Linked DNA regions of Oryctolagus cuniculus. The protein of the gene in region 1 binds, or shares a complex with, the protein of each later gene. Links are inferred from orthologs where the notes say so. Each region holds a gene or a part of one and is shown on either strand. Other genes may lie near its edges.

What was found.
Region 2: LRP5 (region 1) and FZD8 share a complex: the UniProt entries of both Homo sapiens proteins name them as parts of the wnt-signaling complex. The link is inferred for Oryctolagus cuniculus from reciprocal best matches to the Homo sapiens genes LRP5 and FZD8.

The regions. Positions count from the first base shown.
Region 1 is NC_091432.1:4,143,096-4,158,322, forward strand, and holds part of LRP5 (low-density lipoprotein receptor-related protein 5), read right to left. Parts: intron 13,894-15,227; coding exon 13,677-13,893; intron 12,493-13,676; coding exon 12,203-12,492; intron 11,011-12,202; coding exon 10,784-11,010; intron 9,748-10,783; coding exon 9,563-9,747; intron 7,179-9,562; coding exon 6,855-7,178; intron 5,437-6,854; coding exon 5,237-5,436; intron 1,429-5,236; coding exon 1,220-1,428; intron 405-1,219; coding exon 214-404; intron 1-213. UniProt on the Homo sapiens protein: Acts as a coreceptor with members of the frizzled family of seven-transmembrane spanning receptors to transduce signal by Wnt proteins.
Region 2 is NC_091444.1:107,146,318-107,162,032, forward strand, and holds FZD8 (frizzled-8), read left to right. Parts: upstream 1-5,961; 5' UTR 5,962-6,457; coding exon 6,458-8,542; 3' UTR 8,543-9,208; downstream 9,209-15,715. UniProt on the Homo sapiens protein: Receptor for Wnt proteins. Component of the Wnt-Fzd-LRP5-LRP6 complex that triggers beta-catenin signaling through inducing aggregation of receptor-ligand complexes into ribosome-sized signalosomes.

The DNA.
Region 1 (15,227 bases):
GGAGGGACCCCAGGCACCGCCTCCTGCTTCTCCCCAGCCCACAGGGTGCGACGGGAACCCCACTCCCCCCGCGCAGGGACCCCGAGCAGCCGGCTCGCCCTCCCTGGGCCTGGTCGCCAGCCTCTGGCACGCGGGGCCCCGCCGGAACCCGCAGGTGCACCTGCAGGGCCAGGCTGCGCGCGCCTGCGACGAGGAAGGCAGGAGACGGCCCACCTGAGAGGTCGCAGCTCTCGATGCGCTTCAGGTCCGCATCCACCCAGAAGAGCTTGCCCAGCGCGTTGTCCACCACGAGGGCCACGGGGCGGATGAGGCCCGTGGTGAAGAGGACCTCGCGCTCCGTGCCGTCCAGGGCCGCGCGCTCGATCTTGGCCGCGCGGTCCTGCATGTTGGTGAAGTACAGGTGCCTGCAGGTGGGGGCGGGTGAGGCACGGGCGGGGCAGGGGCTGCCCGGGCCCACAGCGCCTCGCCCAGCACCAGCCCAGGCCTGGCGGCTCAGTGTCCGGCCCAGGGCCTCGGAATGTGAGCTTAGTTAGGGACGGGTCTTCGGGGGGTGAGTCAAGGATCTCATGAGAGGGCGCTGCGTCAGGGCGGGCCCACCATCAAGGAGGTCCGAGCAGGCGCATGCGTGCCGGGGCAGCGAGGGGAGTGAGGCGGCCACCGGACAGAGTGCCTGGAGGGGGGGCCCTGAGGGGCGGGCGGCGGGGTCCGCTGCTGCATGGGACCCCGCGTCCAGGCTGGAGCCCTTGGTTCCAGCCTCGGCCGCTCCACTTCCAATCCGCCTCCCTGCTAATGCACGTGGGAAGGCTGCAGGTGACAGCTCCAGTGCTCGGGCCCTGCCAGCCACGCGGGAGACCCGGATGCAGCTCCCGGCTGCAGCCTGGACCAGCCCAGCTGTTTGCAGCTGTTTGGGGAGCAGGCCAGTGGATGGAAAATCTCTGTCTCCCCCTCTCTGCCATGCTGCTGCTCCAACTTTTTTTAAACAAGAGGAACCCCGAAGGCCACCCGAAGCCAGCAGGCAGTGCTGCTATGCCAGAGGAAGGCGGCCTGGAGCCAGCCCTGAACTAACCTCTGCGGTCGGCTTGTTAGAAGCCGCTCCCCGCCGCCCACCAGCACGGGCTGCCCCGCTGGGCCCCCTGCCCGTGACCGTGACCACGTCTGCGCGTCTGTTCTCCGCCCCGACCACAGGGCTGGGGCCCTAGAGAGGGTCGTCACTGCCTACCCTCGCTCGGCGTTGACGACGATGGCTCTGGGCCTGTCGCGGCCCCCACGCAGCACCACCCCCACGGCCTCCCCGCTCAGCCGCTGCACGTTGATGGTGTTGGTGGCCTCGCACGTCCAGAACAGCGTGCGGCTGTACACGTCGACGCTCAGGTCGTGCGGCTGCCTGTCTGGGTTCTGGCTTTGGCTCGGAGACGTCAGAATGAAGGGCTGCGGAGACAGCAGCGAAACCACATTGGCGCCAGGGAGAGCAGCCAGGGGCATCCCAGCGCGCCCGGAGGCCAAGACCCCAGCAACCCGTCCTCTCCCAACCTCCGAGTGCAGAGGCAGATCCGGACACCGGCTTCCGGAGGACTCGGCACCACCCTGGGTCCCAGGCCCCGTGAGCGAGGACGCCGGAGGGACCCAGCTGAGTGACACCGGTGGTCACGTCCCTGGCTCACCCCAAGTGTCCGCCAGGTGCGGGGCCCCAGGACCTCAGGCCCGGCCGAGACGTCTCCCTGCTGTGTCCCAGGATACGTGCTCCCAGGATGGAAGACCCTCAAGTATTTTTTAACTTAGGTCAGCAGATGCAGAGACCAGGAGACCCCTTTCACGGCCCCTCCCCCAAGGGAAAGAGGCCAGGGTGCAGGGGCGGGGGCGGGGAAAGAGGCCAGGGTGCAGGGGCGGGGGAGGAGAAAGAGGCCGGGGTGCAGGGGTGGGGGAGGAGAAAGAGGCCGGGGTGCAGGGGCAGGAGCGGGGAAAGAGGTCGGGGTGCAGGGGCGGGGGAGGGGAAAGAGGCCGGGGTGCAGGGGCGGGCAAAGAGGCTGGGGTGCAGGGGCGGGGGAGGAGAAAGAGGCCGGGGTACAGGGGCAGGAGCGGGGAAAGAGGTCGGGGTGCAGGGGCGGGGGAGGGGAAAGAGGCCGGGGTGCAGGGGCGGGGGTGGGGGAAGGGGGTGGGGGAAGAGGCCGGGGGCGGGGGCGGGGAAAGAGGCTGGGGGGGGCAGGGGCAGGGGAGGGGAAAGAGGCCAGGGGGCGGGGGCAGGGGCAGGGAAAGAGTGGGGGTGCAGGGGCGGGGAAAGAGGCGGGGGGCGGGGGAGGGGAAAGGGACCCCATCTCAGCGCCTCTCAGGGGCCTCCACCCAGCCCGTTATCCCCACAGCACTGCGTTGGCTGCATTTGGAGGATGTGTCCTGGCTTTGGGGTCTCCCGCACGATCCCTCCAACGTGATGGGTTGAGCAGGCGTAGGAAGCGGGAGGAGCCCAGAGCTGCACTCCACCCCAGAAGCCTGGCGCCTGGGACGACCTGGCCCCTGAAGCTGTCCTGACAGCCCGCACGTTCCGGCTCCTGGAGACCTGGCTGACAGAGGGGCGTGGAGCTCCGGGGCTGCGATGGCTGGGGGGAGACCCTCGGCCTCTAGGAAGGGGGGCAGCCAAGGGCGACCTCGCCCAGCAGGTCACCGGGGGCTGTCTTGGCTTGTTTCAGTGTCGACGAAACACGATGTCTCCAGGTGGGCAACGGAGGGGGCTTGCAGCCCAAAGGAGCCCCTGCCCCCGGCCCAGCCTCCTGGATCCGGCTGGAAAGGACCCACCACGGCAGCCCTGGGCTGGCCTCGCCGGCAGCCGCCAAGAGCATCCACCCTCCAGGCTCAGAGCAGCTCTGAGGACCTCGGCTCTGCACGGGCGACACCCGTGCCCCACAACACTGCCGGGCCTGGGCGCGTGCCCCAGCGCCACACAGAGCTCCCTGCCCGCGGATCTTGGCCGGCACGGCCAGGACTGGCTCACTGCACGGGGCAGGCTGCGGAAGCCGGGCAAACCCGGACTCTGCAAACCCCAGCTGTCCAGGACGAGCACCCGCGACACCGCCGGGCCCACGGCCCTCCCTGGGCGGCAGACGCTCGGGCTTCCTGGCTGACCGCAGAGCCCAGCTGCACCACGCAACGCTCACCCCAGCGCGAGGAGGAGGAGCCATCAGGGCAGACACGGCCCGTGGGGGCGGGGGCGGCACCAAGCCCTCATCCAGTGGGTAATGACCACTGTCCCGAATGAAGGAGCAGAGCCAGGTCCCCCAGGGGCCGAGCCGGCAAGAGCCACAGGAAGGGTGGGTTCCCAGCTGAGGAGCAGGGCGGAGCCTTCCTCCAGGCTGTTTCTTCAAAGCCTCCGCCCACTTCCTCCTCCGAGGCTGCCAATGGCCACTCCAGGCACCAAAGCACCGGAGCCAGCAGGAGGCACGGCCTCAGCTAACACCTGGGCCCTGCAGAGCGGTACATGCCACCCTCGTCCAGCAGAGGGCGGGCTTCTGTCCCCGCACCCAGCACAGGGCAGGTGCCCGGCTGTCCCCACACCCAGCACAGGGTGGGCTTCTGTCCTCACACCCAGCACAGGGCGGGCTTCTGTCACCCACACCCAGCACAGGGCAGGCTTCTGTCCCCGAACCCAGCACAGGGCGGGCTTCTGTCCCCGCACCCAGCACAGGGCGGGTGCCCGGCTGTCCCCACACCCAGCACAGGGCAGGCTTCTGTCCTCACACCCAGCACAGGGCGGGCTTCTGTCCCTGCACCCAGCACAGGGCAGGCTTCTGTCCCCGCACCCAGCACAGGGCAGGCTTCTGTCCCCGCACCCAGCAGAGGGCGGGCTTCTGTCCCCACACCCAGCACAGGGCAGGCTTCTGTCACCTACACCCAGCACAGGGCAGGCTTCTGTCCCCGCACCCAGCACAGGGCGGGTGCCCAGCTGTCCCCACACCCAGCACAGGGCAGGCTTCTGTCACCCACACCCAGCACAGGGCAGGCTTCTGTCCCCGCACCCAGCACAGGGCGGGCTTCTGTCCCCACACCCAGCACAGGGCGGGTGCCCGGCTGTCCCCACACCCAGCACAGGGCGGGCTTCTGTCACCTACACCCAGTACAGGGCAGGCTTCTCTCCCCACACCCAGCACAGGGCGGGTGCCCGGCTGTCTCCACACCCAGCACAGGGCGGGCTTCTGTCCCCACACCCAGCACAGGGCGGGCTTCTGTCACCCACACCCAGCACAGGACGGGCACCCAGCTGTCCCCACACCCAGCACAGGGCAGGCACCTGCTTCTATAACTTCTGCCCCGACTGCTCCCACAGAGATCCCAGCCGCCTGTGACCTCCACCACCAGCCGAGGACACACACCTGGCGCTATGACCTGTGAACTCGGCACTGGCGCTGGGCGACATACCTTGGCAAAGGGCCAGCCAGCTGGACAAACAGTGCCAGCCTCCAGCTTAGGGCAGGCCAGAAACGTGCATGAGGCAGCCCCGCACTGCCACAGCAAACCCCCAAGGAGCCAGCTTTCCTGCGAGGGCAGGTCAACGGTCAGCTCACAGTGAGGGGGTTCCAGGCCAAGACCACACAGCCCCATCAGCACGGCCTCCAGTGAGGGCAGCGGCACGCACGGAGGACGGGGCAGAGAGGGGCCAATCCCAAACTCGGGCTCCATGAGGACCCTCTGCAGAGCTCGAGGGGCCACACCCCACGACCTGAGGCCCCCCTCCAGGGCCCCTCCCAAAGGCTCGGCCGTCTGGGGTGAGCGCCATCCTGGGCCCCGGGCCTCTGGCACAGCAGGCCGTGGCGGACACTCCACCTGCTCAGCAGACACCGGAAACCACCCAGAAACCAGGAACGGGCAACGGAAGCAAGCTTCCCGCGGCACAGGCCTGCGCCGGGCGCTCCACGGACGGGGGACCCTTTGCTTCTGGGGTTTTGAGCGCTGTGCCCCAGCACTGCTTCTCCCATGAGCCCTGCGTGCTGTCGGCACAGAGCACCGACGCACAGGCTCACGGGAGAGTGGACCACGAGATAAAGGATAAATGGGCGTGACCAACAGCACCCACGCCCACGCAGGCACGGTCGCCCTGCACAGGGGGTCTCCCCCGGGCTTGGCCAGGCCCAGGGTCCCACACGGCTCAGGATGGCACCTGCCAGTGACGTTACCGTTCACCCTGACCAGGGCCAGGCTGCACAGGGGGCGGCGGCCAGGGGTCTCCCCACGGAAGCGGCGGTGCACTTGCCTGGGTGCCGTCGTCCTTGGCGCGCCTGATGGTCTGGCGCCCGTCCACCCAGTAGATGAACCTGTCCAGCGGGTCGTAGTCGATGGCGCGGACGTTCCGCAGCCCGTGCAGGGGCAGGACGAGGTCCGGGCTGCGCTGGTCGTCCGGGATCATCCGGCTGATGGCACATTTCTGGCTGAACAGCAAGAAGGCGGTGGGCGCTGGAGCAAAGCAAAGAGACCAGTGGGCGGCACGTTGGCGCCCGCAGGCTGCAGGGGACGCGGCCAGGACAGGCAGATGGACGGACAGGCGGAAGGACGGACGGGTGGATGGACAGACGGACAGCTGGCCTCCCTCCCGCTGGACTCTGAAAAGCACACCCGCACCTGCACGGCTGGATGTCCGCGGAGGAAGACCACAGGACAAAGGCTGTGCCCCCCCGTTGTGTGCAAGGGCAGGTGTCAGCTCTGAACCGGGGACGGCATTTACCATTAGAACTCAGGACCAAAGGAAAGGAATGGCAGCGAAGCCCCCACTCAGAGCCATGAACACGTGTGTCACCCACGAGTAGCCTGCGGTCCACCCACGCACGCCCATGTGGGCGGCTGACGGCACCAGGAGGGGACGGGCCTCGGGGAGTGGGGCCGGTGAGCCGCAGATAACGGGACAGCAGGGAGCCGCGTGCCGACGCCTGGAAGCCCAGTAAGGCGCAGTCTCCCTGCGGCCCTGGGTCTTGGTTTTCAAGGGAGCTGGGGCCTGGGGGCGCCCGGAGCTGTTCCTGGGCCTCCTCAGAGTGACACGGGGACACAAAGAACCTGCTTCCCAGGGCCCCTCCTTCACGGCGGAACGGGTCCAGACAGGAGCCCTTGTGGCCTGGTGCAGACATGGCACTCGGCCCGCGTGGAGGCCACCCCAGGGCACGCGTCCTGAAATCCAAAGTGTCATCCCAGGTCTGCCGGCCGCGGAGAGGGAACCCAGGTGACAACATCTGCTCCTGGCCCTGGCACGGCCTCCTGAGCCCCCAGGCTCACCCCCGGGAGGGCCATGAGCAGCGGGGTCACGGGGAACCGGGCTGCAGGGAGCCAGGCCCAGCGCCGGCCAGCTCAGGGCTTGCACGAGCCCAGGGCAGAGAGGGCCCGGGTGACGCCACGCTGTGAGAACTGTGGCCTGCGGCGCGGAGCTGAGCTACGGACACTGCAGCTGTCACAGCAGTACCCACAGCAGGGACACAGGAAGTCACCCCTGGCTCCTGAATGTCCCTGTTCTTATCACTGTAGAAGAACAAGATGCCCCCCCACACACACACACACAGAGGCCACTAGGAGACGGCATGGCCGCCCAGAGCCAGCCCGAGCCCAGCTGTGTGGCCTTGAGCAGGTGACCGCACCGCTCTGTGCCTGGGGCTCCTTGTCTGGGAATAAGCAGGGGCCGGGGGAGTCCCTCGCTGAATGCATGGAACAGTGCAGAGCGCCCCCTAGAGGTAGGTTTTCACATCCAGAGATGCCTCACAGACCCCATAGCTCGGCCGAGGCCACCAGGCAGCTCCACCGACTCTGTGTAGCGCACGACCTGCTCAGCCATCCCCGTGCACCCGGCTGAGGAGCCCCACGGCCCGGCTGCTGCAGGGGCAGGCACTCACGGCTGCAGTTGTGGGTGCTGGGGTCCAGGGTGTAGTGCGAGGCGCAGCCGCAGCGGCGGCCCCCAGGGATGGCGAGGCACAGCTGCCCGCACTGCCCATTGCCAGGCACGCAGTCGTTCAGGCCGTCCTGCCGCGATGAGTGGAACACCAGGATGTCCATCACAAAGTCCAGCTGGCCCTGGATGAGGGTGCGGTTGCGGCCGCTGGTCTTGTCGGCCCGCTCGATGCTGTGCAGGTTCCAGTCGGTCCAGTAGATGTAGTCGCTGTACTGCGTGAGGCCGAAGGGGTGCGGGAGGTCGTCGGCGATCACGACCCGCCCCTGACCTGCGGGGAGACCGCCCACCCCCGCGGTGTCAGCACGGCCCGGCCGCGGCACCCACGGGCTCACCCGCAGCCGAGCCTCCCCGCCAGGGGCCTGCACGCATGGCACCGTCCCCAGTGCCAAGTCCTACAGAGAGCCGCAGGCCAGCAACCACCCAGACGCCGGCCCCCAGGGGCCCCCCAGGGGGTCTTCACGTGACAGAAGTGGCCCAGGAACAGAAACCACAGCCCACGGGCCAGGTGGGAGCAGCAGGACACAAAACAGCACCTGCCATAGGACATGCTTCTAGAAGGTTCTGTGACAGCAAAGCTTATCCACCCAGACAGCACCAGAGGCAGTGACGGGCCGAGGTGGCTGCTGGGACACGTGGGGAGGAGCTGGGGGCTGGGAGCAGGGGCGGGGGCGCCAGAGCCGCCCCCCGTCTCTGAAGGAGCCACCTGTGCCGTGCTCCTTCAGCGCTCTGAGCTTGGCCGGCTGCACGGCACTGGAAAATCCCATTTTAACAAACCAAGCTCTGGGGTCCCCCAGCCTGGGCCACCCGGCTCCCCACTCCTGAGCACGTGGCCGTGGGAAAGCCCTGTCCATCAATGCCCGCATCTGTAACACCAGCATCCCCTGGGCGCTGGCTCAAGTCCCAGCTGCTCCACTTCCGATCCAGCTCTCTGCTGTGGTCTGGGAAAGCAGTAGAAAATGGTACAAGTGCTTGGGCCCCTGCACCCGCGTGGGAGACCCAGAGGTGGCTCCTGGCTCCTGGCTTTGGATCAGCTCAGCTCCAGCCTTTGTGGCCAACTGGGGAGTGAACCAGAGGATGGAAGACCTCTCTCTGTCTATCTCTCTCTGCATCTCCTCTCTCTCTGTAACTCTGACTTTCAAATAAATAAATAAATCTTTAAAAAAAGAAATTGGAGATCGACTCCAGGCCCCACACGGGCAGCAGAGACGGATGAACTTGAGCCGTGAGCTGTGCCTTGCAGGTGCATCAACAGGAAGCTGGATGGGAAGTGGAGCCGGGCTCCAGCCCAGGCACTTGGCTGCGGGATGCGGCTGTCCCGAGTGGCGCCTTAACCGCTGCGCCAAAGCCCACCCGTGTCCAGTCTGGAAGTTGATGATTTCATCCCCGGGAACGGTCACTTTAAAAAGGGCCTCAGGACGGCCTCCCCGTGACACACGCGGCCGGGCCCGAGCTGAGAGAGGCTTCCCCCGCACCAGGTCAGAGACCTCGCGCCCCAGGAGCTCTGCCAGCGAGCGACCATCATCACCCGGGGAACCGGGGCACATGCATGACAGCAGAGCGCCGGGGCCACGCCAGGGGCTGCTACTCCAGCCTCCCACAGTTAACCAGGCACTGCCACAGACCTGCGCCCCCCCCCACCAGTTAACCAGGTGCTGCCATGGCCCTCCAGCGTCCCCCCATGGTTAACCAGGCACTGCCACAGCCCTGTAGCCCCGCCACGATCAACCAGGCACTGCCACGGCCCTCCGGCCCCCCCACGGTTAACCAGGCACTGCCACGGCCCTGCAGCCCCCCCCCCAGTTAACCAGGTGCTGCCACGGCCCTCCGGCGTCCCTGCGTTAACCAGGCAGGCACTGCGTGGCATCTGAGGCAGGCAGAGGGGAAACTGCACGAGGCAGGGGCCGGCTAGGCCCTTGGCACAGGGTGGCCATGCTCTGGGGTTTCAGTTTTGGCTGCCTTGCCCGCAGCCCGTCCGCACACCGGGTGATGGGCGAGCTTCGTCACCTCCGGCCACCATGGCCGTGCTGTGACTGGTCTCACCTCGGGCCAGAGCCCTCACGCCCGGCCTTGCGACCCCGGCACTGGGAGCCTCAGGGTGCAGCCCGCCCTCCCGAGACGCCAGCTCCTAGCTCCGGCCCTGGGACGAGGCGTTCCGCTCGCCCACACCTCAGGTTCTTCATCTGCAAAATGGGCACAACCACACCCCTGCAAACGGGAGCCGCGGTGATCTGCCCCCTCGTCTGCCTGGGGGCCCAGACCCGAGCCCACAGAGCCCCAGCCCGTCTGGCGTTCCACTCCCCCAACCCAGGGAACAGGGGGACAAGAGCACCCACAGGGGATGCTGGGAGCCCGAGCAAGCTCCCAGCACAATGGCGGGCACAGGTAGTGGCCCTGGGCTCCGGGGGGCTCCCCAACCCCTGGGCCTGTAACTGGAGACCACGCCGCACGGCCTCCCTGAGCCGGTCTCCCCATCGACGCACACCTCCGCCGCAGGCGTGGGATCAGATGAGAGTCTCGGTAGCAGGGTTTGCCAGAAGCCGGGACCCAGCAGCAGCACGGGAAATGGCCGGCAAACATCAGGCCTCTCCCCAAACCCCGGCTACAGCACGGGTGCCGGCGTGGAGGGCCGAGCCCGGCCGCCCGGCCGCTCACCCAGCATGTCGGACGACTCGATCATGTTGGTGTCCAGGTCAGTCCAGTAGAGGCGCTGGTCGGCGTAGTCGATGGTGAGGTCATTGGCACGGCCCACTTTGTCCACCAGCGTCACGCAGTTGGTGCCGTCCATGAAGGCGCGCACGATCCTCGGCTTGCCGCCCCACTCCGTCCAGTAGATGTAGCTGGGAGGCACGGGGGGCGGGCGCAGGGCTGAGTCCACTTCCGGTGCAGGGGCCAGGTGGCCCTCACCAGCTCCCCCGTCAGCCCCCCGCTTCCTGGAGACCCGGCTGAGGCCCTGCTGGGGCTGTCCCCGGGCTCCTCCCTGAGCTCCTGCAGAGGCACCTGCAAGGCAGCTGAACGCCCACCAAGACACAAAAGCAGGCGCTAAAGCATTCACATGCAGGCACTGCCGCAGGGACGGACGCGAACCAGGCTGGGGGAGACCGCGAGCGCCAGGACCAGGCCGGGAGGCACCGCGGCACCGGGATTCGAGCTCAGCCCCACGCCGCCTCCCCCAGCGGCTCCTCCTCCTCCTCCTCTTCCTCCTCCTCCTCCTCGACAGACCCAGAAAGGATCTCGTCCTCGTCCGGAAACTCCTAATTTTTCTTGCAAAAACCTGCCCCTCCGCTGTCGCAAGTCTGCCTTCCGTGCCCATCAGAGTGGCACCACGCAGCGTCTGGGCTGTTCCAGCCCCGTCACGGTCAGGCTACAGGGTGGGTACCAGGAAGAAAACCCAGGCCCCCAGGCCCCAAGAGGGCGCCAGGCCCCTGTGCCTCTCGAGCGGGCCTAGCTGTGGCCCAGCAGCCCCGAGGAGCCCATTCTGAGCAGCCCGGAATCCAAGGACCTCAAGGCCAGCTCTCCTGGGGCAGCCGGGCCTCGTAGTGAGGAACAGAGGCCCGGAGGGAGCCCAAGAGGCACCTGCTGGCCTCACCCCGCTCCACTGCCTACTGACCCCGGGCGGGTCCCCGAGCCTCCGCTGCACATCTGGGCGATCAAGGGCACGGACACCTGCCCCGTGCAGGCTCCCAGGAGGCCCAGGCGACAGTGGCCAGCTTGGTGCCTGGCACAGCAGCTTCCGGCCCCCTGCCAACACTCTGGCCTTGGTGTCCCGCCAGTCCAGGCCACGTGCAAGCTAGTGGCAGCCGGCACAGCTGTCATACTGAGCGCAGACGCCGCCGCACGGGCTGACGGGGGAAAGGTGGGGGCCCGTACCCTTACCCTTTGGTGGGATCCAGGGCCAGCGACCTGGGGTTGTCCAAGTCCCTCCACACCAGGACCTGCCGGAACCGCCCGTCCAGCCGGGCCACTTCTATCCTGTTGGTGCCGGTGTCGGCCCAGTAGAGGTTCCTGCCCATCCAGTCGACAGCCATGCCCTCGGGGTAGTCGAGGCCAAACTCGATCACGTGCTCCACGGAGCTGCCGTTCATGAAGGCGCGGCTGATGGTCTGGGGCGGGGGAGGGGAGGGGCAGGCGTCAGAGGCCCCGGAGCAGCCGGCGACTGCGCTCGGGACCGGCTGGCCAGCACTGGGCGTCCAAGGGTGAGCATTCAACGCGCAGCCCAACAGCACCCTTGTAGGAAAAGCAACCTGGGCGTGGCCACGTGCATCATGCAAACCTCACACAGACATCGCTCTCAAGTCTTCAAGACGTGCAGCTCACACCCGCGATCTCACCGCTGAAACTACCCCAAGGGACCAATAAAATACAAGAGGGGGCCGGCGCTGTGGAGTAGCGGGTTAAGCCACTGCCTGCAGCGCCAGCGTCCCAGCTTGAGCCCCAACTGCTCCACTCTGATTCAGCTCCCTGCTAAGGCAGCTGGAAAAGCAGAAGATGGCCCAAGTGCTGGTTCACTCCCCCATGTGGCTGCAGCAGCCAGAGCTGGGCCAGGCAGAAGCCAGGAGGAGCCTGGAGCTCCATCTGGGTCTCCCGCGTGGGCACGAGGGCACAAGCTCTGGGCCGTCTTCTGCTGCTTCCCCAGGCGCGGTGGCAGGAAGCTGGATGGGAAGTGAAGCAGCCGGGACGTGAACCGGTGCCCACGTGGGAGGCCGGCGCTGCAGGCAGCAGCTTAACCTGCTACATGGCAACACCATCCAGTTTGCCTTTTCAGACTTCTTTATGTATTTGAAAGGTAGGGTTACAAAGAGACAGAGAAAGAGCGAGATTATCTTCTATCCCCTGGTTCACTCCCTAAACGGCCACAATGGCTGGGCCAGGCTGAAGCCAGGAGCCTGGAGCTCCACCCAGATCTCCCACGTGGGCCATCATCTGCTGCTTTTCCCAGGCGCATTAGCAGAGAGCTGCATCGGAAGTGGAGCAGCCGGGACTCGAACCAGTACTTGAATGGGATGCCGGCGTCACGGGCAGAAGCTAAACCCGCTACGCCACAACGCGGGCCCTGCACTTGAGCTCTGAATGAAGGGATGCGCCATGCGGACAGGCACTGGGGGCGGGGGGCGGCGGTCACTGTCAGTTAGGCCCCGGGCTACCCCTCAGAAGCCAGGGTGTGTGTGTCCACCGGGTCTGCTTGCCATACCCACCCCTGCTTGTCATCAGCCTGAATCTACTTGCAACAAACCCCACCACTCTCGTCAGTGACAGGCGCCGAGCCCTGGCCGCCCCGCCCACTGCAGACGCTACCTTCAGGCTGACGTCCGTCCAGTAGATGTGGCTGCTGCACACGTCGAAGTCCAGCGCCGAGGCCTCCTTCACGCCCGTGAGCGGGATGGCCACGTCGTTGGTGTGGGTCTCCAGGGAGATCCTGTGGATGGCGGCCCGGCTGGTGAACACCAGGAAGGCCTCGGGCACAATGCAGGTCTGCAGGTCGCTGAGCAGCTCCAAGCCGATGGGGCAGCCGCACTTGGTGGCGCGGGGCGTGAAGAAGCAGAGGTGGCTGCAGCCGCCGTTCCCGTCCGCGCACGGGTTGGTGCCTGGAAGCGAACGCACGGCCTGCAGGGGAGCGCGGCGAGGGCGCCGGCAGCCGAGGGGACCGGGAGTGGGGAGCCCACGGGAACCAGGGCTCGCCTCCTGGGACCCTTCAGTTCACTGCCACCCCCAGGGACCTCCCAGAGTCAGGGTTTATGGCGCAGCTGCAGGCGCCTCTGGGCTATGGGAGCGGTGACCGGAGCGGCCCTCTCTACAGACCAGCCTCTGACCTCAGCCTGCCGCCGCGGCACTGCTAAGGTCGGTTTCACATTGGTGTGAAGTATTTCAGCTAAAAAAATCATCTTTTCCCAGACCAAGGGAGAGCCGGAGGCAGCCGACGCCTCAGCTCCAGATCACAGCCCCGCCGTCTCAGCCCACTCGGAGCCGCGGGCTTTCACGGCTCTGTTCCGGACATCACTCGGAGCCCCGGGTCTGCAGCGGGCAGGGCTTCGACAGAGACTGCCCCCACGGCCACCCCGACTGCCTCCGGCCAGGCCCTTGCTCAGCCGCCCTCCCCCCACCCCCCGCCCCCGTCCCACACTCAGTCACCCCCACTTCCTGGATGCAGCCAGGCGGGGCACTGGACCCACCAGACTACAAGCAACCTGGCAGCAAGACTGGGCTCGCGTTCGTCCACTCCCTGATCTGCCCGCACAGTGCAGGCAGGAGCCAGGCCCCGGGCCCCATGGAGCCGCCGGCCCTGGCCCTGGCCCGGCCCTGCGGCCACGGCGTCCAGTGTAACCTGTGCACCTGCATCCGGATTCCTTTCCAGAGGGAAATCACTGTGTCCAACAAAGACCTCCTGGGCGAGATTTCTGCGGGGCCCAGGCCTGGACACCCTGGACAGCGACCACAGCCTCTGGGAGGTCAGGGCAGACCCGGGGTGACTGCCCAGCTTGGCTGCCTGCTCACTGAGCAGCTGCGCTCCCACCACCCCACCACCACCACCCCGTGACAACAGGGTTGCTTTGGGCACTGAGGGGCTCTGTCAGGGCCTAGCACACACAGGCACTCAACAACACAGCCACAAATACAGCAATGGCGACCAACAACCCCGGGCCACACCACTGACCATGTCCTGTCAACATCCCACCCCCAGCCGCCGTCCTGCCCTCCAGAGCGGCCCCCCACGGCCATGTGGGTCCTCCCAGCCAGCGCGGCACAGCCACGGCGTGGGCCCCCGACTCACCGACGACCTTGGCCACGTTCACGGCCTTGAGCCCCATCAGGTCAGGCAGCTGGTCGATGATGACGTCCCGACTGGCCTTGACCTTGTGCACCCGCTCGATGCTGCGCCGCTGCCAGTCCGTCCAGTAGATGAAGTCCCCCAGCAGCGTGAACCCGAAGATGTGCGGCAGCTTATCCTCCAGGAGCGTCCGCCGCTTTGTCCCGTCCACACTGATCACCTGGGGCGGCAGACAAGGGCCTGGAGGGCCGAGGCTGCGCCAGCCACAGCCGCGGACCCGAGCTGCCCGGGAGCAGACAGCTGCGACTCCCAGGAGCCTCCGCTGCACCTGCCCCTGCCGGGTGCTACCGGCTCCAGCCGGACAAACGACATTTCCGGCATGCGACTATCGTCTGGGCCAGGGAGTAGTGACGGGCGCCAGCTCGGGGCCCGCTCCTACAGCTACCTGGGCGGGGACGCTGTGCTAATACGGGCAGAATGGACGGACGGGTGTCCTCCTACTTATCCTTGCTGACCCACGGGTGGCATCTGCCTGCAGTACTGAGGGGTGGGTCTCAGACCAGAGAGCGCTGCACTGAAGGAGTCTGGGATCAATTAGCCATGCCTGCACAGGTGCAGCAGGGGCAGCGCCAGCTCACACCCACCACACAGCTTACAGGACAGGAACAAGTGTCCCCCACGTCCCTGAGCTACGCCTGTCGCTCTCAGACACTTCCCCTCTGTGTACCCTGAGATGCAAAACCTCGATCTTTCCCGACAGAGCGAGATCAGACGCAACCACCATGTAAGTGCAAGGGAGAAAATCCCATCATACCACAAATGGCCTCAACCCGAGGCACAGGGACAGACAGCAGGGGCAGGGCCCCGGGATGGGGAATCCTGCAGGGGCCCTGCGACGGGAAGACTGGATTAATTCATGACACGCCGGGCAAAGCCACCGCCTGCAGTGCCAGCATCCCATATGGACACTGGTTCAAGTCCTGGCTGCTCCACTTCCGATCCAGCTCTCTGCTGATGGCCTGGGAAAGCAGCAGAAGATGGCCCAAGTGCTTGGGCCCCCGCACCCACACAGGAGACTCCTGCATCCTGACTTTGGATCAACCATTGCAGCCATCTGGGGAGTGAACCAGCAGATGGAAGACCTCTCTCTCTGCCTCTGTCTCTCTGAAACTCTGCCTTTCAAATAAATAAACAAATCTTAAAAAAAAAAAAAAAAAAAAGACACGACACATGGGCTCTTGGCCATCAGGACAGGAGGGAGGAGGGAGGCGGTCAGAGGGAGGACATGGTCTACGGCAGGCTCCAGCAGGCGCCTGGAGCCAGACTACACCAGGAAAGCCACAGACCCCCTGGTCTGCAGGTGGCAAAACACAGGCCAACTGCGTGCTGAGCTGACAGGCCCCTGGGCCCTGCTGTTGGACAGCACAGGACAAAACTGCTGGTTGGCTGCAGGGGCGGCCAGCGGGGGCTGTCCTGGCCTGCACTTGGGTGAGGCCTTGCAGCCCCACAGAGCCGTTCCTCCACCTGTACCAGGATCAGACCTGCTGCCACTGC
Region 2 (15,715 bases), on another chromosome or scaffold:
ACACAGAGAAAGAGGAACACCTGCCCATGCCTGGGGAAGGCACCTTCAAGAACAAACAGTATGTATGCGCATGCATATAATATTCACCCACAAAGTGAATAGGATGTTAAAAATGGCTAAATCTTAAAAAAAATAATAAGTATTGAAAGAAAGAAGTCTGCCAGGAGACTTCTGGAAAGATGCCCGGAACACTGCAGCCCTCTTGTGACCATGAGGTCAGGGCTGTCAACACCCCTGGGGGGCAGGGCAGGGAAAGAATCTGGATCCTGGAGGACATTTTCCAAGTGCTATGAACCACCCTCCTGGACTGTCTGTGCTAGGAGATAATAATTTCCATCCTGCAGGAGCCAGTGTGCAGCCAGTCGCCGAGACAGGACAGACAGCATTGAGCCCAGAACCTGGCACCACGCTCTGAAGGGCGGCTCGTGTCTCTCCTCCACCCCAGCCCACTCCCCTCCAGGACAAGGGACCACGTGGCTCTGAGCAGACCGCACCGCGTCCTGAATCTGACCACTCTCATTTCCCCAGCGACAGTGGCGCTCGGCACAGAACCCCACCTGGGACAGTGTTTCTGGTGCCGGCACTGTGGCGCAGCGGGTGGAGCCGCCACCTGTGACGCGGGCGTCCCACATGGGCACCAGGTCCAGTCCCCAGAGCAGCTCCCTGCAATGTGCCTGGGAAAGCAGAAGATGGCCCAAGGACTGCGGCCCTGCACCCGTGTGGGAGACCCGGATGGAGCTCCTGGCTCAGCCATTGTGGTCCTCTGGGGAGTGAACCAGCAGATGGAAGACCTCTCTCTGTCTCTCTCTGTCTCTCTGTACACTGAACTTTCAAACAAATAAGTTAACCTTTTTCAAGAAAAAAAGAAAGCATGCCAGGGTTCATCTTTATGTTGTGAAATTATTCCAATACACTCAACGTGGTAACGCATCCACTTTTATTCTATACTCGACTATTATGCTACAAACCATGCTTCCATAAACTAAGGTTGACTCTCCTGAAGCATATGTGCTTCCAACAGCAACAAAGACGAGAAAAATCAAATGTTGTCACTTCCAGACAAAAAATGCTTTATGTGTTCCCCTGACTCTGGTCAGAAACAAACATAAAACAGGAATCAAGCCACCACCCCCAGGCTTTAGTGCCCTAATAAGTATTCATGTTACTAATGTCAAGTCTCCATAGCCCAGACCACGGCTTAAACCAGATTACACTGTAACCAGACGTAAACTCTCGCCTGGACCAACACTGCTTTGCAATAAAAGCCCTTTCCCATCCAGCAGCAGCTCAGAGGGGGCTTCAATACAATTCTCCTACATTAATTATAATTTTGCCAATACAAACTGTTATGCTGGGTGGGCGTTTGACCTAGTGGTAAGACCCCCAGTGGGGACACCCACATTCCCATGTTGCAGTGCCTGGATTTGAGTCCCCATCAGCTCCCTGCTAATGCACTCCCTGGGAGGCAGCAGGTGGTGGTGCAAGTCCTGGGGTCCCTGCCACCCACGTGGGGGGGCCCAGGTGGAGTCCTGGGTCCCTGCCACCCACGTGGGGGGGCCCGGGTGGAGTCCTGGGTCCCTGCCACCCGCATGGGAGACCCGGGTGGAGTCCTGGGTTCCTGGCTCCAGCCTGGCCCCGTCCCAACTGTTGCAGGCACTGGGGAGTGAACCAGCAGATGCCGGCTCGCTCTCTCTCTCTCTCTCCCTCTCTCTCTCTCTCCATCTCAAATCACCTTTTTTTTTTTTTTTTTTTTTTTGACAGGCAGAGTGGACAGTGAGAGAGAGAGACAGAGAGAAAGGTCTTCCTTTGCCGTTGGTTCACCCTCCAATGGCCACCGCGGCCGGCGCGCTGCGGCCGGCGCACCACACCGATCCGATGGCAGGAGCCAGGAGCCAGGTGCTTCTCCTGGTCTCCCATGGGGTGCAGGGCCCAAGCACCTGGGCCATCCTCCACTGCACTTCCCGGGCCATAGCAGAGAGCTGGCCTGGAAGAGGGGCAACCGGGACAGAATCCGGCGCCCCGACCGGGACTAGAACCCAGTGTGCCGGCGCCGCTAGGCGGAGGATTAGCCTAGTGAGCCGTGGCGCCGGCCTCAAATCACCTTTTAAAATAAAAAGGTTATAGGGTCTAGGACTTAACAACAAATACCCTCTGACTCCCAGAATTTTGTCCATTTTTAGGGTAAAAGCCCAACACAAAGGCACTCAGGAATGATACTGCACAGTTTATAAACATTATCAAGAAAACGCGTGGTAAACTGCTGGCCATTTCCCAGTGCACAGAGAACCTGATGCTGTGCACGGCCCAGGGAAGAGAATCCGGATATTAAGGGTTGCTTGGACCTGGAGCATCCTTGATTCCTAATCCAGAGTGCGATGTGCTGGGGGCTGGGCACTGGGCTGCTCGTGGTCAGGTGTGCCGCTGGCAGCCCCGCCTCCCTGCCCTCTGCCTTCCCCGGGGCCCCGTCACCAGCCCCCTGCTGGAGCCCGCCCACCGTCACAGCCTGTCTGGTGCTGGGTGCCAACCTTGGCCACCAGGCAGGTTCAGACCACCGTGCTTCGGGGCCAGTCAGCCAAGGGCTTCCAGAGAATGGAGGGTGGCCTGAAACGGGATGACTCGGCAGCTGGAGCTTCCACGAGCCCGGGGGACTGACTGTGAACTCTGGCTTCTACGCTCAGCGCCAGGGAAGGTGTCCTTGCTTGGCTCTGGCAGTTTGAGTTACAAGATGGTTATGGCGGAAGGAAGTCCCACTTCCGACCCAGCTCCCTGCTGGATCCCTGGGAAAGCAGCGAAGACGACCCAGTCGCTTGGGCCCTGCACCCCTCGGGGAAGCCCCTGGCTCCTGGCTTCGGCCTGGCCCAGCCCCAGCCATTGCAGCCACTGGGGGAGTGAAGCAGCAGATGGAAGACCTCTCTCCCCCTCTCTTTGTAACTCTGCCTCTCAAATAAATAAATCTTTAAAGAAAGAAAGCTCCCAAATGAGTGCACACTGTGTCCTCAAGAGCCTGGACACCCGCCCGTACTCCTGTGCAAATGAGAACAAGAACTGAGCCCGCGGGAGCACGCGCTGGAGTGGCTGGAGAGGCAGCACCACACTGCAGGCGCCATCTTCCAAAATGGCGGCTCCATGTAAGGGAGCAGTGACCTCCAGCGAGGGGCACGCGGCCTGTCACCCACAGGAGCCTCCCTCCCTGGTGGAAGAGAAAGCAGGAGACAGCTCTGTAAACATTCGCTGCTGGTGAGGAGGAAGAGCGCTCAAATACCCTCCCTGACCAGTCCATCTCCTGCTCCCGTCCACTCACACAGCTGGCCGCTGAAGACGCAACGCTTGGTGTGCTGCAGACCTGAGCCCACTAAGACGGGGCGGCCGTGAGGCCTGGTGGTCAAGATGCTGCTTGGGACACAGGCATCCCATAGCGGGGTGCCTGGGTTCCAGACCCAGCCCAGCCTCCACTCCGCTTCCTGTTGAGGGGCCAGGTGGCAGCCGTGATGGCCCAAGGCCTGGGGTCCCTGCCACCCACACGGAGACCCAGAAGGAATTCCTGGCTCCTGACGTCAGCCTGGCCCAGGCCTGGGTGTTTTGGGGGACTGAACCAACAGAGAGAAGCTCGCTCGCTCTCCCTCCCTCTTCCAAATAAATGTTTTAAATCTTCAAAACGTCAAGTACCCAGCGTCACCGGATAGAGTTTTAAACTCTCTGAACGTGCGATACTCGTTTCTCTGGAAGAAAAGCAGCCTCTGGAAAACCGGCTGGTGTCTTAGGTAACATCCAAGAGACGCCATCAGGTGCAGAGGGTCCTCCACTCCACGCTCACATCACGTGTTCTGCAGGTGCGGAGCCCGACCTGCGAGAAGTCCGGCTGCAGTACCTTCACCCCAGTTTCTCCTGACACCCACGTGGCCACCCCGTGTTCCAGCTCCCTCCGGCCTCCCCCTCTACCTGTTGGACATCTGCTCCTGCACTCTGCATTATTCATTCATCCCCCACCCACCGGCTTCCCTGCCCGGAAATGCTGTTTTACATACAAGCAAAGTGTCCGCAGTTCTGGTCTTGGCGGGCACACTACCGCTGCTGGCTTTAGAAATCTTTCCCCCTCTGAAAGCTTCTCAAGTAGTCACTTATTTTTTTTTAATTTTCCCATTTATTGGCAAATTTCAGATGCTATTCATAGACGATTAAAAATAAATCTTTCAGGATTTTATGTAAGTAAATCTTTCATGATTTTATGTCCCAAATCAGTAAAAAGTTTCCCCAAATTGCCTATAACATGATTTTTTAGAAGTCTGAACTTCTGTCTGCTTATTTTTTTTACGCAGGCTTAATACACTTACCAAAAATTTCCACATTCCACATCATCAAAGCTTTCATCTTGTCTCCAAAGAAAAAAGGAGAAAGAATCGAATGCCAGTGAACAGCCAAAACCAACTATTTGCAGCCTCGATTTTCAAATGTCAGGCTGTTTTTTTCCCTCATTCTGGTCAGTTTACACGGCGCGCAAGTCTAACCATCTCCGCGTGACATTTCCCTGCCCAGCAAAGGCTGGGGGAGCCCCTGAAGCCTTCGGAGGTGGGGGCCAGGTAGAGCAGCGCGCATGCGCCCTCGCCAGCCTCACCTGTCCCCTGACTACGCAGTGCCCGCCAGGAGCCACCTGGACCTGGAGAGGCTGGTGCCTTCCCCCTCTCTGGGCCGCGTGGGGGCTGGGCTCTGCAGCAGGGGAAAGGAGTGGGGGAGAGGGAGGAGAAGGGGGGGGGAGAGGGAGAGAGAGGGAAGGGGGGAGAGAAAGGAAAGGAGGGAGAGAGGGAGGGGGAGAGGAGGGGGGAGAGAGAGATAAAGGAAAAGAGGAGGGGGAGAAGATAGAAGTAGAGGGGGAGAGGGAGAGAAGGGGGGAGAGAGGAAGGGAGGGAGAGGGAGAGAAAGAGGAGAGAAAGGGACGAGGAGAGAAGTAGGAGAAGTGGGGGGAGAGAAGAGGAGAGAAGGGGGAGGGAGGGGAAGGGAGAGAGGAGGGGAGAGAGGGAAAGGGACGTGGAGAGAAGTAGGAGAGAGAAGGGAAGGAGAGAGAGGAGAGGGGAGAGAGAAAGGAGGAGAGAAGGGGGAGAGGGGAGGGGAGCGAGGCGGGCGGGGGCGCCGGCGCCGCGGCGCTAGTCCCGAGGTTACAGTAATTACCGCCGCAGCGTGAGTCCCGCGCGAGCGCTAAGTGGAACAGCGACATCAATTAAACAACAAACGCTCCGCACCGGGAGAAAGACAGCCCCCCGCGACGGCCCAGCCGGCGCCCACCAACCTGCGCGCACCCCGCTGCCGGCCGGCGCCCCCCGGCCCGGGCGGGCACCGCAGCCCGGGGCAGCCCGCCGCGGGTCGGCCGGCCGGAGCTGGTGCGCTCCGCGTGGACGGGCGTGAGCCGAGCGCACCCAGACCGGAGCCCGAGCCCCCCCACCCCCCCGCCGCTGATTTACAAGTTTTTGTTTTGTTTTCTTTTTTTCTTTTTTTAAGAAGATACTGGATTGTTTTGCAAGAGGGAGCCCAGCGTCCCAGCGCCACCCGAATACCGACACAGTACCCTCCCCCACCCCGAGCCACGCGGCGCGGACAGGCGCCGGGCGCGCACCTGACCCGCAGCCGCTGCGGGCGCCCGGGGCTCCGGGCCGCGAGCCACGAAGACCAGGCGGGCGGCGCGGGCCTCCACCATGCGCGCGGGTCGCCCGGCGGGGAAGAGCGCGCCTCGCCACCTGCCCCCGAGCCCAGCCCCTCTGCGGGCCGCGCGGGGCGCTGGGGAACCGCCGCCGCCCTGCAGCCAGCCCCCAGGCGCCGGGCCCGGCCGCCCGCACAGCCCGCGGGGCCCCGGCCCGCCGGCGGCCAGGAGGCCACGCCTCCCGCGCGCGGACCCCGCCCCGCCGCCGCCGATTGGCCGGCACTAGGGGGCGGGGCAGCGCCGGGGCCGTATAAATATTCATGAGCCGGGCGCGCGGCGCTCGGGGGGCCGCGGCCGGGAAGTTGGGTGCAGGGTGCTGCTCCCGCCGAGGCGGCGGCGGGGCCGGGCGCGCAGCTCGGGGGTCTGCTGCGCTTCCGGGGCGAGCGGGGCGCGCGCGGCGGGCAGGAGGAGCGGCCCGGGGCGCGGCGCGGACTTGCGCCCGAGGAGGAGGAGCGGCCGGCCAGGCGGACGCACGGAGGAAGCCGGCGGCGGAGGCGGGCATGAGCGCCCGGGGCCCGAGACGGGGTTGACCGGGGCCCGGCCGGCCCAGCCATCTTGACTGCGCGCCGCGGCGCGGGCGGAAACTTGCGGCGCCGCCGAGGGGCCCTGCGCGCGCCAGGGGGAGCGAGCGAGCGAGCGGGTCGGGGCCATGCGCCGCGGCCGGGCCGGCCCGCCCCGCGAGAGCTGAGCGCGGCCCGCAGCGAGGCGCAGAGCCCGGCGGCGGGCGGCCGGCCCCGCTCGCGGGGGCCGCGGGCGCGCGCGCGCGGCATGGAGTGGGGCTACCTGTTGGAGGTGACCTCGCTGCTGGCCGCCCTGGCGCTGCTGCAGCGCTCCAGCGGCGCGGCGGCCGCGTCGGCCAAGGAGCTGGCGTGCCAGGAGATCACCGTGCCGCTGTGCCGGGGCATCGGCTACAACTACACCTACATGCCCAACCAGTTCAACCACGACACGCAGGACGAGGCCGGGCTGGAGGTGCACCAGTTCTGGCCGCTGGTGGAGATCCAGTGCTCGCCGGACCTCAAGTTCTTCCTGTGCTCCATGTACACGCCCATCTGCCTGGAGGACTACAAGAAGCCGCTGCCGCCCTGCCGCGCCGTGTGCGAGCGCGCCAAGGCCGGCTGCGCGCCGCTCATGCGCCAGTACGGCTTCGCCTGGCCCGACCGCATGCGCTGCGACCGCCTGCCGGAGCAGGGCCAGCCGGACACGCTGTGCATGGACTACAACCGCACCGACCTCACCACGGCCGCGCCCGGCCCGCCGCGCCGCGCGCCGCCGCCGCCGCCGCCGCCGCCTCCGGGCGAGCAGCCGCCGGCGGGCAGCGGCCACGGCCGCGCGCCCGGAGCCCGGCCCCCGCACCGCGGCAGGGGCGGCGGCGGGGACGCGGCGGCCGCGGCCCCCGCGCGCGGCGGCGGGAAGGCGCGGCCCCCTGGCGGCGGCGGCGGCGCGGCGCCCTGCGAGGCGGGCTGCCAGTGCCGCGCGCCCATGGTGAGCGTGTCCAGCGAGCGGCACCCGCTCTACAACCGCGTCAAGACGGGCCAGATCGCCAACTGCGCGCTGCCCTGCCACAACCCGTTCTTCAGCCAGGACGAGCGCGCCTTCACCGTCTTCTGGATCGGCCTGTGGTCCGTGCTGTGCTTCGTGTCCACCTTCGCCACCGTGTCCACCTTCCTCATCGACATGGAGCGCTTCAAGTACCCGGAGCGGCCCATCATCTTCCTCTCGGCCTGCTACCTCTTCGTGTCCGTCGGCTACCTGGTGCGCCTGGTGGCCGGCCACGAGAAGGTGGCCTGCAGCGGCGGCGCGCCGGGCGCCGGGGCCGCGGGCGGCGCGGGGGGCGCGGCGGCCGCGGGGGCGGCGGCGGCGGCGGGCGCGGCGGCCGGGGGCGGCGCGGGCGCGCGCGGCGACTACGAGGAGCTGGGCGCCGTGGAGCAGCACGTGCGCTACGAGACCACGGGCCCGGCGCTCTGCACCGTGGTCTTCCTGCTCGTCTACTTCTTCGGCATGGCCAGCTCCATCTGGTGGGTCATCCTGTCGCTCACCTGGTTCCTGGCGGCCGGCATGAAGTGGGGCAACGAGGCCATCGCCGGCTACTCGCAGTACTTCCACCTGGCCGCGTGGCTCGTGCCCAGCGTCAAGTCCATCGCCGTGCTGGCGCTCAGCTCGGTGGACGGCGACCCGGTGGCGGGCATCTGCTACGTGGGCAACCAGAGCCTGGACAACCTGCGTGGCTTCGTGCTGGCGCCGCTGGTCATCTACCTCTTCATCGGCACCATGTTCCTGCTGGCCGGCTTCGTGTCGCTGTTCCGCATCCGCTCGGTCATCAAGCAGCAGGGCGGCCCCACCAAGACGCACAAGCTGGAGAAGCTCATGATCCGCCTGGGGCTCTTCACGGTGCTCTACACCGTGCCCGCCGCCGTCGTGGTCGCCTGCCTCTTCTACGAGCAGCACAACCGGCCGCGCTGGGAGGCCACGCACAACTGCCCCTGCCTGCGGGACCTGCAGCCCGACCAGGCGCGCAGGCCCGACTACGCCGTCTTCATGCTCAAGTACTTCATGTGCCTGGTGGTGGGCATCACTTCCGGGGTGTGGATCTGGTCCGGGAAGACGCTCGAGTCCTGGCGCGCGCTCTGCACGCGCTGCTGCTGGGCCAGCAAGGGCACGGCGGGCGGCGGCGGCGGCGGCGGCGGCTCGGGCGCGCAGGGGCGCGGCGGCCCGGGGGGCGGCGGCGCGGGCGCGGGGCCCGGCGGCGGAGGGGGCTCGCTCTACAGCGACGTCAGCACCGGCCTGACCTGGCGCTCGGGCACGGCCAGCTCGGGGTCCTATCCGAAGCAGATGCCCCTGTCCCAGGTCTGAACGCGGGGGGCGCGTGCGTGCGTGCGCGCGCGCGCGCGCGGGATTCCCACCCACCCCACCCCCTTCCCCGTGGTGTTGACTGCTATTAGCATGATAATGAACTCTTAATGGTATCCATTAGCTGGGACTTAAAGGACTCCCTTAGAACAAAGTAGCTGGCATGGAAGCCCCCCGGGAGCCGGCCCCCTCCTCCCGCGCCGGGCGCTCCTGCCGCGCGGGCCCGGCTGGGTGGACTCCGCCGGGCTTTCCGGAGCCCCCTCGCCGCGTGCCCCTCGCCGACCTGGAAGCTAGCGCTCCACGATGCCGCCCGGAGACCCCCTGTGTTGTGCGTCCACTCTGGAGCGAGGGGCGAGCCGACTGCGGCCGTCCGGGGCTGCACGGTTTGGGTCAATCTTTCCTGACCGGGCACATGCCTTAAATAAGCAAGCAAGAAATGTCTTAATCACCCAATCCAAGTAAATACGGGTTTCTGACGTTAGAGGATGTATTTATATAATTATTTGTTACATTGTAAAAAGCAAAAACAAAAAACAAAAACGTGTACCATATGTATATATCCAAAGATATACAACGTGTACATTTTTTTTGTAAAAAGTGTAGAGGCGACCCCTGTAAGAACAAATATAAGTATTCTATTTTGTCAATAAAACGACTTTTGATAAATGATCGGAAGCTTCGCCGGCTCTCCCTGCGTCTTCTGAGCTGCTGCTGCCTTCCAGAGGGCTTGGCCAGCTTGGCCAGGACCAGGAGCCGGAAAGGGACTTTCCCTGGGGACCTTGGCAGTGGGGGGAAGGTACCGGCAAACGCGCTGGTTCTACCGCCGTCCAGGTCCTTGTGGGACTGACAGCAGAGTGGAGATCTTGGATCCAGCTCGCACCTGAGTGGGTGAGCCGGACGCTTCGCAAGGCAGCAGCCCCCTGGGCCTGGGCCCCGCCATTCCCCCGTGTCGTGCCCGCCAAGGTCTCCAGAGCCCACCTGGGCTCTCTGGCGTCTGGAGTCCGCAGAGCCCCTGGTGGTGCGGTCACTGCACGTGCTGCTGGGACGTCCAGGTGCGCTGTTAAAGCTCAGGGCGCTCTTGGCCGTGGGACTCACTGGACAGCCTGGTCGCGAGCAGGGGAGGGCTCAAGAATGGATTCTTCTCATGGGTTAACATCTTAATAATCATCCCTGCTTGTGTGTCCCAAATGTGCTGCCTTCTCTGGAGGAGAAAAGAAAACCTGTTATCCCTCTGTCAAGACTAAGCTAATGTATTGAAGCAGAAGGCTGCTGCATTAGCAGAAAGCTTCGGCAATGGTGGCGCTCCCTACCTGTCTGTCCAGTGGTTCTGCACACCATCCCTTCAAGAGGAGCCGGATGAATAGGGTTAATCTGTAGGGAACTTGGTCCTTTGAGTTGGAAAAACTTTGATCTTCGAAGGCGTTTGTAAAGGCCGCACTGTTCCGTCCTTGCAGCCGGCTCCATTGGCCACCACGGAGCCTGAGCGCTCGGCCATTGAAGGGATGTGGGACTTTTACTTTAAAAAGGAGAGGGAGCCAGGGGCCGGGAACACTTGTAACAGTCAGTGGGGACCGGGAGCACAAGTGCGCTCCGCCTTTTAAACAGCCATTCCCGGTATTGTTGGCCAGCCCGCAGGCTGCGAGCCTGCGCTGCGGCGTTGCTGAATGCCCTACAGGTGGTCTCGGCACAGAATCCCCCAATTTAAAGCCTTTTCCTTCCCTGGACAATTGCATTACAAAACTCCCTTCTTTCTCGCTCCTAATTGAACCAATGAACTATTATAATCTACAAGTTTTTCTTTAAAAAAAAAATCCTCAGTGCCTAAATTCTATTCACTAAATTCTGGGAAGTTTTCTGAACCCGGAAGTAGGAGCTGGTTCGGCAGAGGTTTCTCTCTTTTAAAGATATTTTTATTCCTGATGCTTGTTATTTTCTGACACATTAGCAATAATTTAAAAGTAATTGGTGGGATTGTGTGTTCCTACTGAAAAGATAGCCCCAGGTCCCTTATTAACCTGTCAATCAAGATAAGAACCGGGCAGATCCTCCGCTAATGATGGAGGCATCAATCACCGTGGTGGGAGGGGACTTGTCCTGGGCATCCTGCTAAGATGTTTCTTCTCTTTACTTCTCCAGATCGGAATCTTCGGTGGTTTTCTTAATAGGGTGGAAACTTCCGTACTGTGGGCGACTTCTCACGTCCTGACATTTTGCAAATCCTTCCCAGAGTCGTGCTTGCTGTTAATTGCATTTTTAAAAATCGGATTTACAGGAAGAACAGCGGCCCCGGCTCTCCCGCCAGTCCGCGTTTTCCGAGGCGGGGCCCTGTGAAACCTCCCCTCTGCCGCCATTGTCGTCATGAAGGGACCATGGGGGTGTGCCTTAGGTGCCCAGAAGGGGCCTGCTCCCCACCCAAGTGGGGACTGCAGGGCTGGAGGGTGCAGGTGCCACGAGAGCTGTACCTGGCAGACGGGGACAGAGCTGAAAGTCCTTGGTTGGCATGTTGGGCTTCCAGTGTGCCATTCCCATGAGTGACAGAGTTCTGAACATGGGCCACAGTGCCAAGTGGTCAGCTGAGGGGCTTGCTAGCTATTGGTTCTCTGAACCCTTGTCAAATGCCGTGTTGGTTCCTTTTACCAGGTGGCTGCTTGTGTTCAATTTCAGCAGGCTCATGAAGCCAACCAACAGAGCCCCTGTGGACTGCTGACACCCCCCTGCACCTGGGCTCCCCGCAACCCCAGCTGAAAGCCGCCGTGTGCTCGATTTCTGCCTTTGAGGCCAAAACCTGCCTGGCAAAGTTGCCCCATACCCAGTGCCATCTGCTCGTGAAATCAAAACCCCACGGCTGATTCTTTTGGTGCACCTGCCCCGGACACCCCATTGGGCTCCCAGGGTGTGACCTAAGTGACTATGAAACAAATATTTGTTTCTGGACACCTTGTCAAATACCGGGGTCCGTGGGGAAAGACGTCATTACTGTGTGGCTAGATCAATGTCAATAAAATCTAACCTGATGAAAACCTGCAGTCAGGCCAGAGCTCATTACAGCAAGCTGCCGGGGCAGCTGCGGGACCGGGAAGGACCACAGGGCACCAAGTTCAGCAGAGTTTAAGCGGCAGTCCCTTAGCCCTCGCGGGCTGCGCTGGGGCGCCCCGGTGCCTCAGAGCCTGCGGGGGAGGCCCACAGATCATCTTGCGAGCAGAAATCCACCGAGAGATTGCACAGCAGATGTGCTACTTCAAGAGTGGGTGCAGAGCGGTGCTCAGAGCGGAGCCGGCGCCGGCCGCTGTCCACAGTCGGTGCTCTGCTGCCATCTTGTGGCTGCACAGTGCCATTTCCCTTCCAATTCATTCAGAAAAACTGACGACCCAGATGGCAGACCCTGTCCCAGGCACCCACCTAGGGCTCCTGCAGGCGTTCTGTGTTCATCATTCCAAGTTCTCAGAATCTGGGGTCATGCCTGACCTCAAAACTGCATCTGTTTAAGGCCTCACAGGACATCACTCCCACACAGTTTAAGGTGACTTTTGCTAACCTCCGCTCAATCAATCAATCCTCAGTGTCACTGTTAAGCTAAAAATATAACTAAGGTCGGTGGCAATCCAAGTGCCTGTCTTCCTACAAATTCTTTTCTGCGTTACTCTTTTTTTTTTTTTTTTGACAGGCAGAGTTAGAGAGAGAGACAGAAAGAAAGGTCTTCCTTTTTCCATTGGTTCACCCCCCAAATGGCTGCTGCGGCCGGCACACTGCACAGATCCGAAGCCAGGAGCCAGGTGCTTCTCCTGGTCTCCCATGGGGTGCAGGGCCCAAGCACTTGGGCCATCCTCCACTGCACTCCCTGGCCACAGCAGAGAGCTGGCCTGGAAGAGGGGCAACCGGGACAGAATCCAGAGCCCCGACCGGGACTAGAACCCAGGGTGCCGGCACCGCAGGCAGAGGATGAGCTTAGTGAGCCATCGTGCCAGCCTCTGTGTTACTCTTATTTAAAGAGTGGAATGCTTGCCAAAGATCTGTCCTACCAACCCTTCAATGGAGGAAGAATCAGTAATAGAGACTGTTTGGAGTAGGCTTCAGTTTTCTGTTTATTTGAAAGCCAGAGTTACAGAGGAAGAAGGAGACTCAGAGCGAGGTCTTCCATCTGCGGGTTCACTCCCCAGATGGCTGCATTGGCCAGGCCTGGGTGAGCCTGGGGCTTCATCCAGGTCCCCCACGTGGGTGTAGGGGCCCAGGGACTTGGGCCATCTGTCTACTGCTTTCCCAGACTGTAGCAGAGAGCTGGATCAAAAGTGGAGCAGCCGGGACTCGAACCGGCGCCCGTACGGGATGCGGCAGTGCAGGTGGCGGTTTTACACCAGCTACTGCACTGCTTCACACGCCCCACACTTGGCTGTCGGCCGAGCCCAGTGTCAGCCTTTGGAGCTGCACACGTATGCTGTGGGGTCGGCCAGGGGGCAGGGCTGTCCCTGCTGTCCCCAGGTGTCCGACAAGGCCAGCCAAGGGGTAGAGGGGGCCTGCTGTGGCCTTCCAGAGCCCCCCTGGAGAACACAGCAGTGTGGGAAGCCAGGTTCTACAGGAGGGGACCCCAGGGCCTCCTGGAACCCTGGGTCCTGAGGAGCGGGGTGGCTGCTGGGGAGGGGGTGGGGTCCACAGCAGACCCGCAGGCCGTGGGGTCGCCAGATGCCGTGACAGGCAGCTCAGCCGGAGTGCCACACACGCACACACATGCACACCCTGACACCCAAGACCTCCTTTGGCAAGTTAGGGCGCTGCAGCTCCCAAACCAGGGGTGCGGACAGGTTAGCAAAGCGCCTGTCCTGCAGGCCTGACACAGCGGCCCCCTGTGCACCCCGCTGTGCGCCCTGGTCCCAGAGTCGCCCCGTGGGCTCCCGTGGTCTGCCAGTGACCCACGGGCACGGAGAACACATGGTCCCTCCTCTCCAGGAGGGAATTCCCCAGGAATTCCCCAGCCCCCTAGGAGGAGCTGCAGGGACAGACTGGGCGGGGGGGAGGGGAGTCACTCTGGCCAGCGCAGTCAGGGAGGGAGCACGGGCGGCACAGCAAGCAAAGGCCTGCAGGCGGCACCTGTGGAGAGGGGTTGAGCAGGGCGCCGGCACCTGCGGCAGGAGAGAGAGGTGCGGCAAGAGGAGGAGCGGCCAGGGGCAGAAGCAGTCAGCACCAAGGTAACCAAGTGACCGAGCCCAGGGGACAAGGACCAAAGCCCCTGTCCACTCCCCTTCTGCGACACCCCGGGGCCCAGGCTTGGACGGCTTAGCAGCCCAGCGGGGGTCCTCACCTCTGCCCACAGCGCCCAGGCTGCACCCTGGGACTGAGATGCCAGAGTTCTCCAAGGCCGCCCTGGGGATTCTTGGGGGTCTTCCGCGGATCCGCTAGGCCAGCCAGCTGCGGTCACCCACCTGGGCTCCTGGAGACAGATGGGATTGGTTTCCATGGTGTTTTGTGTTGTTTTGTTTTGTTTCAACTCCAGGAGTGGTAAATGCTTGGGAGGGGACAGAGCGCCCTCACCTGGTGCAAACGGAGAATTTCATGCCCTGTTAGTAACCAAAGACTTGCAAAGAAAGAAACTGAATTGTGCGATACTGTGTGGTTCTATTAAGCAAGAAACTAGATGGAGCCGGGAGCCTGGGAGGGACAGTGGTGTCGGTGTCGGCGCATGGAGCTTATGTCCCCGGCCGACCTCACCGCGTCCTCCCCCTGTTCAGGAACGCGTGCTACCAGCCGAGGGAGCCTCATTGGAGATAAAGGCTCTGCCTGCCCTGGGGTGCCAGTGACCTCTAGACCACACCCCCTCTTCTTGTTTTTTGGTTATTTTTGTTGTTGTTGTTGAAAAATAGACAGCGAGAGAGCTGTCATCTGGTGGTCCATTTCCAAAATGCCCGAAACAGCCAGGGCTGAGCTGGGCAGAAGCCAGGAGCTAAGAACCCCATCTGGGGAGTGGCAGGGGCCCAGGTACCTGAGCCATCACCTGCTGCCTCCCCGCGTGTGCGCTAGTGGAAGTCGGGATTGAGAGCGGAGCCAGGGCTTGACCCGGGCACCCCCAGAGGGGATCTTAGCCACTGCGAACGCCTGCCTTGGGCTGGGGGGTCCAGAGAGTCCATGCTGCTCCCTGGCCCCGAACCTGCAGGACCTGTGTCTCTACCCCACATCTTTCAAAGGGAACCTGTACAACCTCCCCCAGGGCTGGAACATCCTGAAAGTTCCAGAATTACAACTTTTTTTTTCAGTGCAAAAATTGTGGGGTTTTTTTCCCCCTGCTCTTAGTCTCTGAGTACCTTGAAAGAAGTAACAAGCCTAACAAGAAGAAACCCAGAGAAAGATACTTTCCCAAGTAACGAAGGAGGATTCCTGACTAGAGTGCATGTGTGTCTTTTTTTTTTTTTTTTTTTTTTTTTTTTTTTTTGACAGGCAGAGTTAGACAGTGAGAGAGACAGGAGAGACAGACAGAGAGAAAGGTCTTCCTTCCATTGGTTCACCCCCCTAATGGCCGCCATGGCCGGCGCGCTGCACCGATCTGAAGCCAGGAGCCAGGTGCTTCTCCTGGTCTCCCATGGGGTGCAGGGCCCAAGCACTTGGGCCATCCTCCACTGCACTCCCGGGCCACAGCAGAGAGCTGGCCTGGAAGAGGGGCAACCGGGACAGAATCTGGCACCCCGACCGGGACAGAACCCGGTGTGCCAGCGCCGCAGGTGGAGGATTAGCCTAGTGAGCTGTGGCACCAGCCAACATGTCTTTTTTTTTTTTTTTTTTAAGATCGATTTATTTATCTGCAAGGTGGAGTTACAGAGAGAAACAGAGAGCGAGATCCTCCATCTGCCGTTTCACTCCCCAGATGACGGCTGGGCCAGGCCAAAGCCAGGAGCCAGGCGCCTCCTCCAGGTCTCCCACGTGGGTGCAGGGGCTCAAGCACTTGGGCCGTCCTCCACTGCTTTCCCAGGCCACAGCAGGCGCTGGATTGGAGGTGGAGCAGCCGCACTGGGCCCACAGCCTTCACACAGCTGTCTGTGCTGCAGCGTGCGCTCCTGCACTTGAACTTGGAGGCACTTAGATGAAACCACAAGGCACAGGGAAATGCAAAAGCGTCTTCTGAGAGCCCTGTCCCGAGCCAGGGGCAGCGCCTGCGTCTTGCGTCCACACAGGAAGCTCATGACTGCGTGTGCC